Arabidopsis thaliana: one gene and its partner. The protein of the gene in region 1 interacts with the protein of each later gene in a pairwise test. Each region holds a gene or a part of one and is shown in the gene's direction. Other genes may lie near its edges.

The links.
Region 2: the proteins of AT1G12810 (region 1) and NPR4 interact in a two-hybrid assay, tested with the Arabidopsis thaliana proteins (one large-scale study listed by BioGRID).

What each region holds. Positions count from the first base shown.
Region 1 is NC_003070.9:4,365,389-4,369,324, forward strand, and holds AT1G12810 (proline-rich family protein), read left to right. Parts: upstream 1-1,867; 5' UTR 1,868-1,943; coding exon 1,944-1,986; intron 1,987-2,105; coding exon 2,106-2,403; exon of another isoform or gene 2,404-2,631; coding exon 2,632-2,730; exon of another isoform or gene 2,731-3,083; coding exon 3,084-3,132; 3' UTR 3,133-3,416; downstream 3,417-3,936. Other genes in the region: AT1G12805 (nucleotide binding protein), read left to right, coding at 1,340-1,567; AFB3 (auxin signaling F-box 3), read right to left, coding at 3,491-3,936.
Region 2 is NC_003075.7:10,695,713-10,700,785, reverse strand, and holds NPR4 (NPR1-like protein 4), read left to right. Parts: upstream 1-1,993; 5' UTR 1,994-2,542; coding exon 2,543-3,061; intron 3,062-3,152; coding exon 3,153-3,891; intron 3,892-3,972; coding exon 3,973-4,520; downstream 4,521-5,073. Other genes in the region: AT4G19670 (RING/U-box superfamily protein), read left to right, coding at 1-735, 995-1,403. UniProt on the Arabidopsis thaliana protein: Salicylic acid (SA)-binding substrate-specific adapter of an E3 ubiquitin-protein ligase complex (CUL3-RBX1-BTB) which mediates the ubiquitination and subsequent proteasomal degradation of NPR1 in the absence of SA.

The sequences.
Region 1 (3,936 bases):
GGTTGAACCAGTAAGGTGAAGACACGTGGTTGATGAAGGAGCAACTACAAAAAAAAGATTGCATTTTAACGTCTTGCCGTTGTTTCGTTTTAGAGATGAACTACACGTCGTTTTTTGAAATTTGCTTTAACGTCAAATCTTTTCATACACGCGTAAGATTGGGCTATCATGGGCCTAAAATTGGCCCAATAGAAGGATGGGAAAGAAACTCAAAGAAGAAAACTCTACCAAATAATCCATGTTTTTTTATGTATGCAGAAGTTTATTATATCTGTATATATAGATAAACACTGATATATCTAAATATCTAATGCACTGAGGCTATTTCATTGTTTCAGTTTACTTAACATTGTTATTTATTTTGATATCGATTAGGGTTTGGATTTTGTGGGTTCGTCATAAAAGGGACTAGAGTTTTTTTTTATTGAAAAAGGAAACGGACTAGCTAGAGTTATAGTTTTGCATATCGGCTCTACCTAAAGTTTTAAATAAGTTGAATTCACGCATGCATCAAATAACTCGTGCACTTTAACGAACATTAATTGGTTAATCCACTGATTGTCAAATATCGACTATGAATTAGTCCATTTTATTCTTCTCGTTCCATACAATAAATCGATGTTAGTACAGTGGCAAAAGTGTAGTTTAGCAAGGACGAACACATGTGAGACGAGAAAAGGGACAAAGAGCTGAAAGTATAAATAGGCGTTACGTTCTATAGCGGTTTTCATGCTGAGAACATCATACAATTGTCGTTCGATATAATCTGTGGCTTGCATAGTTTACGGCTCCTCGTTTGGATTTTTGAGGAATTTATATAATTATAAATAATGACTATTTGTATTTTCACATACTTCAGTAGATAGATTCTCGAATCTCGAGATTACCAATATCATGCACATCATCATATGATGCATACACGTGATGTAATAAAGTTATTTTAATATGTATTCAGCCAAAAGTTGCACCAAAAAGAGAATCCATCGAATCCACGAAAACTAGGTTCTACTAATTAGTTATCTATTAAATTATTTCACAAAACTAATAACCATATAGCATTCAACACGAGTACACATCTATAACGGGGGGAAAAAAACTTTTATGGAAAACATTTAAAATAAATATGTATAAGTTAGTTAATATATGTGCCAAAACATGGAACCTAACGCCCACAGTTTTTCCCCATCTATAAAATATATGTACTTTCAGCCTTTCACTTCAATTCCCTAGCTCAACAAACAACAAACTATGAATCAAAACATATATCTCTTTATTTCATAATCATTTCCATAAATTACACCCTCAAAGGTTTTCCACTTCTTAAATCCCTTTTTATCAAATGGATGTCTTTATATCGGAAGAGTATATCAACCGCCGGAGATTGGAGAAAAAAGCTGCCACCGTTGCCGGAAAAAGCATGAGGTTTGGCTCAGCTTCAAGCAAGACACCAGAGAAGAGAAATAGTTACCCTCGGATATCGGAATCTCCGCCAGATAATGAGTTCCGGGTCACTGGCGGGGGTGTTTATGATAGCTTTGCCTTTGTGTTCCACTGCTTCTCGCCGTAAAAAAAACAAAGCGTTTGTGTTTAGCGATCAAAATGCATGCGCAATAGTATATGCATGGGAACTTTATTAGTTGTAGCTCTCGTTTTTCTAACATTTACTTGAAAAAATAATTCTTCTTAACACTGTTTTTCTGAATGATGGATAGAATTTCATGTTTACCAAATAAGTGGATAGGCCCAATAGCAAACAAACGAATAAATAAAAATTATTATCGGCCCAAATCCAATAAGAACGTGAGCAACATGATTTTAGTGACACGTGAATTTACTTAAATGAAAAGAAAAGCCTGGCACTTAAAATATATTTATATTTTCCAATAATCTCAAAAAAAAACTCTCTGATTCGAAAAGTGAAATTTGATTTTGACAAAAAAAAAATGAGCTACGACAGAGTCCCACCGGAATCGTATCCTCCTCCAGGTTCGTTCGTAATCACTTCTCCTTCTTATGATTCTCTTCTCTTCGATTCTAAATTCTGATTCTCTTATTTTGATCTATTCTAAAAGTACTAAGATCCTGTTTTTGATCGGACGAATTAGGATACCAATCTCACTATCCACCTCCGGGTTATCCATCAGCACCGCCACCGCCGGGATATCCTTCTCCTCCGTCGCATCACGAAGGATATCCTCCACCTCAGCCTTACGGAGGATATCCACCACCGTCTTCACGTCCTTACGAAGGCGGTTATCAAGGCTACTTCGCCGGAGGAGGTTATCCTCATCAGCATCACGGACCACCACCTCCTCCTCCGCCGCAAAATTACGACCACTGCCATCATGATCATCACCATTACCAAGATTCTGACTCTGGTTGCTTCTCTTTCATCCGTGGCTGGTTCGTTTCTTTCTCTACCACTTGCCGCCTTTTAATTTTCGTTTACTTTCATTGTTGTGAGTGCACTGATTCGATTCTCTGTGTTTTTTTTGGTCAATCTTGTTAGCTTTTATGTTGGATCACTGATTAATGCTCAGGGTTCATTGAACTAGTGTTTTGGTTTATGGAATTTGGGAATACTATGATCCTGATCAGAACCAGATTCCTTTGAGTTGATTTATGGATAAGCCATAATGTGAAACTCAAGAGTTCCGTTGTGAACCCTGACTTGACTTCTTTATCATTTTGTTTGGTGGCCAATTATCGAAATTTTAGAGCAAGAGATTCGTATTAATCCTTAGATTTAGTTCTCTGAGTGCTTTGCTGATCTTCTAAGGAAGGTTCTTGTCTTTTTATGATGAGTTTAGAGCTATCCATGTATAGACACATTTTTATGTTTATCTGTTGGACAGGATCTTTTACTTTTCAATGGATCTAGTGACTCTCTTAAGAACTACCTAATGGCTTTTATTTTACATTCTTAACCCCATAATATTTAGTATAAAGTTTGTAGATAAAATGTTATATCATCTGCAGCTTTTCTTTTAGTAAGAGATTTGTGATTGACCTCAAGTAGCCTAATCATGTTGCTTACAAATTGCGATTACGGAATCCTTTTTTTTGTGGGTTGCGAATTGCAGTCTTGCTGCTCTTTGCTGTTGCTGTTTGTTGGAGGAATGCTGCTTCTGAGAATGCCGCCAGTCTCTGTGGATCTCGTCGTTTACTGTCAGCATTATGTGTCTAATCGAAGACATATGCCATAACACTCTATGTCTTGTGTACTATCGTGTGTCAATGTCTGTTAATGTTTACCTCTTTGTTTGAGAGTGCACTCATCCAGAGCATGGATTAGACAAGTAGGTTTCTTGTGGATGTCATTGTAATTTGTATTATTTGGAAAACGTGATTGGTATTTTACCTAAATTTATGTTTTCAATGGCTGAATTACGGTGATAATAAAATGCGACATTTGTATTTGTTCCAAGTTTGATAAAAGGCAAAAACTAGTACAAAGAAAAGTTTGAAAACACATGAAGGTGCAAAGAGACTAAAGAATCCTAACATATGGTGGTGCATCTTTTCTAGTCCCAACCACTGTTCGGTAGAGGTAAAGTTTATCAACCTTCTCTCTTTCATCTTCTTCATTCTGTTCCATCCCATTATTCTCATTCTCGTTGATGATCTCTACGTTAAGCCGTGGCGAATTCTGCGCGAGCCTCTTGCAGCCACCGAGTGTTACTTCACAAGACGACATCCAAAGGGATCGCATTGTTTCGTACCTACCCACGTCAGCAAGAAGCGCAGCGTTCCCAAAAGGACTGTCCCTTATCTCCAGCTTCCTCATTTTTTTGCATCCATTCAACACATAGAGCATTCCTTTGTCAGTGTCCCCCGCAAAAGCTATCGAAAGCATCTCGAGCTGTTCCGCGTACATACCGATGTAGAGAAAGACTTGATCGGTTAAGAGACCGGAGACAGAGAGCCGTCTTAGAC
Region 2 (5,073 bases), on another chromosome or scaffold:
TTTAGTAGCTCTGAGAGAAAGGGTATTGGAGAAAACAAGTAACCTTAATGGGTTTGTTCTAAAGCTTGCTCCTTTCTGTGATCTTGATGAAGCTCTAAGCTTGGCTCAAGTAGCGGTAGGAATCGTGTCTTCTAATCTTGATGGGGATAAACCGATCGAGAACTGCTCGATCTGCTGTGAAGACCGTCAGTCTGAGATGATGCTATCATTGAAATGCACTCACAAATTCTGTTCGCACTGCATGAAAACGTACGTTGAAGGGAAAGTAAAGACTTCAGAGGTTCCCATCAGGTGTCCTCAAGTGCAATGCAAGCATTATCTCTCAGCAGCGGAATGCAAATCGTTCCTTCCCGTCACTACTTTCAAATCATTCGAGGAAGCAAATGTGTGTAGTAAAAACAATGGGAAGATTTACTGCCCATATCCCAATTGCTCTTTTCTGTTAGACCCGCAAGAATGTCTATCATCAGGAAGGGCTAGCTCAAGCTCGTCTACTCAGTCAGAGAATAGCTGCTGTGTGGAGTGTCCAGTCTGTGAGAGGTTTGTGTGTGTGGACTGTGGTGTTCCTTGGCATGCTTCTATGAGCTGTGAAGAGTTTCAGATTCTTCCAGTTGATGAAAGATACCCAGATGATATTACATTGCATCGCTTGGCAAGGTATAAGAGGTGGAGGCGGTGTCAGCAATGCCGTATAATGATCGAGCTTGCTCAAGGCTGCAACCACATGACTTGCCGGTAAGACACACATATATATCTATGGCTACACATTGTTTTCCGTATCTATACATATTTGAACCACCAAAGTTAGGTTTTTGACTTCCAATAAAATATAGTTAGTCTTGACCCTTTAACTGCAGAATCACGGTATCGTAATAACCATATGATTCTAAGGTTTTTTTTTTCTCGCCTACGTTTAAATCTAGTATTCTAGAGCAAGTGTTTCTTTTGCGATTCTTACGCATATAAATGTCAAAACTCTCTGTGTTTTCCGCAGATGCGGGCATGAGTTTTGCTACTCGTGTGGAGCAGAGTACAGAGAAGGGCAACAGACTTGCACGTGTGCTTTTTGGGACGATGATGAAGAAGAACAAGAAAACGCAGTAGAGGAAAACACAATTCAAGAAGTTGAGCAATGGCCTTGGGACACATTTAACTCAATTCCAACTGTAATGGACGCGTACTCAGAGCAAGAAAGATCTCAGCTTGCTCTGATCCAAAGGTTCTTAGCAGGTGGAGGGTTTAGTCTCAGTGATCACCATACTACTTATCAGTCACCGCCGCCTCCATGTACAGAGTCATCATATGTTGAAGCCGCAATGAAAGATCTTCATCAGCTTCCTTGGCTTGAGAGGTTTGTGTCTGTTATAAGTGATGATTACTATGAAGAGTATAATAGCCAGTGAAAGTAGTAGAATTGTAATTTAATAGCCTTGAGGATCCGGCTTGGTTTGGTTCAGAGAGGCCAAACGAGAGTATCTCACTCTCGAAAGTAATTGTTGGGAGGGTTTTAGATTCTTGATGAACTCAAACAAACGAATTGTGATGAAACTATTTGCAATTATAAGAAGAAGAGTTTGCTCATCTCCATTCTACAAATCCTGCAAGAAAGATTAACACTCTTTTATATTCAGTGTTATGTTATGATATTTAATCTACCAAAATTTGGTTGAAGAACTAATCAAAATGAACTTGGTTAGCATCATCATATATATACCAACTACCAAGTAAAGAAAAAGTTTGATAAATTCAATTATTCATGCTCTTCAAATAAAATACAGAACCCATTAAAAAGGGTCCACTTATCATCAATCTACTCTTGCATTATCTTGAGTTTTTGTGTAGACATAACATAACCCATTTTATAAGTTATGACCTTATTAGAAAGGGTCCACTTATCATCAATCTACTTAGCATTTTGTGTATATTTCTCAAAGCTGACGTTATTTAAGACGTCATAGACCCACTTCACCACAACTCAAGTCGTCTTCAATTGCTGACGACATTGCTTACGGTTTTTGAATCGTCGTCACAAAATTTAGGAGATTGGATTAGGAATTGGCTCTTTCTTTACTATTCTCCAAAGACTTTACTATTTGGTCAGTCTTCTTATTTCTCACCTTTAGCTTTTAGATAAACCTCTGATTTTTTTCTCCCATCTGTTCTGAGATTGTCTTCTTCTTCTTGAAATCTTTTTCATTTGTGCAATGATTTTGAAGACTACCCATCTATTCAGTTCTTTCTCTTATGATTTAAGTTTCATTTAGTTTTTTTTTCTCATCCGCCATTTTCGTTGACTTTTTGAAGCATTTCTCGAATTGACTTTGTTCTTCACATTGATTCATTAGAATGTTCTTTCATAAAGTTTGGATCTTTTCTTCAGGGCTTGATTAATTTCATATCTATGATCTTCTCTGTATTGTTTTTGATCCAATCACTTCTCAAAATTTGATCCTTGTCATTGGATTTAGATTTAGGGTTTTTGTATCCTTGGGGATTTGAAGATCAAAAACAGAGTCTTTGAGTGATACTTCTGGGGAACAAAATGGCTGCAACTGCAATAGAGCCATCTTCATCTATAAGTTTCACATCTTCTCACTTATCAAACCCTTCTCCTGTTGTTACTACTTATCACTCAGCTGCTAATCTTGAAGAGCTCAGCTCTAACTTGGAGCAGCTTCTCACTAATCCAGATTGCGATTACACTGACGCAGAGATCATCATTGAAGAAGAAGCTAACCCTGTGAGTGTTCATAGATGTGTTTTAGCTGCTAGGAGCAAGTTTTTTCTTGATCTGTTTAAGAAAGATAAAGATAGTAGTGAGAAGAAACCTAAGTATCAAATGAAAGATTTATTACCATATGGAAATGTGGGACGTGAGGCATTTCTGCATTTCTTGAGCTATATCTACACTGGGAGGTTAAAGCCTTTTCCTATCGAGGTTTCAACTTGTGTTGATTCAGTTTGTGCTCATGATTCTTGTAAACCGGCCATTGATTTTGCTGTTGAGTTGATGTATGCTTCATTTGTGTTCCAAATCCCGGATCTTGTTTCGTCATTTCAGGTTTGAGATAAAGTTTCTTTGTGATTTTGCTGGTAAATAATCTGTTCTTGATTGGTCAAGGCTGTAATGTTGTGTGTTGTTGTGTCTGCAGCGGAAGCTTCGTAACTATGTTGAGAAGTCACTAGTAGAGAATGTTCTTCCTATCCTCTTAGTTGCGTTTCATTGTGATTTGACACAGCTTCTTGATCAATGCATTGAGAGAGTGGCGAGATCAGACTTAGACAGATTCTGTATCGAAAAGGAGCTTCCTTTAGAAGTATTGGAAAAAATCAAACAGCTTCGAGTTAAGTCGGTGAACATACCCGAGGTGGAGGATAAATCGATAGAGAGAACAGGGAAAGTACTCAAGGCATTGGATTCAGATGATGTAGAACTCGTGAAGCTTCTTTTGACTGAGTCAGATATAACTCTAGACCAAGCCAATGGTCTACATTATGCAGTGGCATACAGTGATCCGAAAGTTGTGACACAGGTTCTTGATCTAGATATGGCTGATGTTAATTTCAGAAATTCCAGGGGGTATACGGTTCTTCATATTGCTGCTATGCGTAGAGAGCCAACAATTATCATACCACTTATTCAAAAAGGAGCTAATGCTTCAGATTTCACGTTTGATGGACGCAGTGCGGTAAATATATGTAGGAGACTCACTAGGCCGAAAGATTATCATACCAAAACCTCAAGGAAAGAACCTAGTAAATACCGCTTATGCATCGATATCTTGGAAAGGGAAATTAGAAGGAATCCATTGGTTAGTGGGGATACACCCACTTGTTCCCATTCGATGCCCGAGGATCTCCAAATGAGGTTGTTATACTTAGAAAAGCGAGGTATTGACCTAGTCGATATATATATTTCTCATAGCTTAAGGTTGATGTCTCTTTATTGAATTCTTGTATGTGTCATTGCAGTGGGACTTGCTCAGTTGTTCTTCCCAGCAGAAGCCAATGTGGCTATGGACGTTGCTAATGTTGAAGGGACAAGCGAGTGCACAGGTCTTCTAACTCCACCTCCATCAAATGATACAACTGAAAACTTGGGTAAAGTCGATTTAAATGAAACGCCTTATGTGCAAACGAAAAGAATGCTTACACGTATGAAAGCCCTCATGAAAACAGGTAAAAGCTTAAGGAAATGTACTTTCAAGTTTTATTCTCTGACCACAAGATTGACTGATTCGAAACCGTTCAACAACGCAGTTGAGACAGGTCGGAGATACTTCCCATCTTGTTATGAGGTTCTGGATAAGTACATGGATCAGTATATGGACGAAGAAATCCCTGATATGTCGTATCCCGAGAAAGGCACTGTGAAAGAGAGAAGACAGAAGAGGATGAGATATAACGAGCTGAAGAACGACGTTAAAAAAGCATATAGCAAAGACAAAGTCGCGCGGTCTTGTCTTTCTTCTTCATCACCAGCTTCTTCTCTTAGAGAAGCCTTAGAGAATCCAACATGATCTTGTCCCAGATAAGTAATGCTACTAGAGATAGTTCCTTGGAAGAAATTAGCTATTTTATAGGTTTTGGTTTAGAAAACAGTGGAGATCCCATTTTGGTATTCAGGTTTATTACATGGTTTAGGTTTGATTTTGTATTAAAGGAGATGGATTTTTGAAATGTATAAAGCAAAACCTTTCCTTTTTGCTTTGCTTCTTTCTTTAGTCAGAAAATTGTAATATATGGAAGTGAAATCGAAGCAACGATTGAGCAGAACGAGAAGCACAAGAAAAATGTTAAGCTAGTTAAAAGATTTTCAAGCTTCTTGCAAGAGAATTACTAAACAGGCACTTTCTCAGGGGAAAGATCCTCGTGTTGAATTAATCTCAATACCAAAATCTAAGCCTGCTTCTGATAGCAAAACAGGAACTAGAGAATAGAGATAGTTCCTTTGAAAAGATTGAAGATCCCATTTTGGCTTTAGGTTCAATTTGTATTACAAGGGATTTTGATTTTTAAAATGTGTAAAGGAAAAATATGATGCTCTGAATCCAAATCATTTAGAACATATTG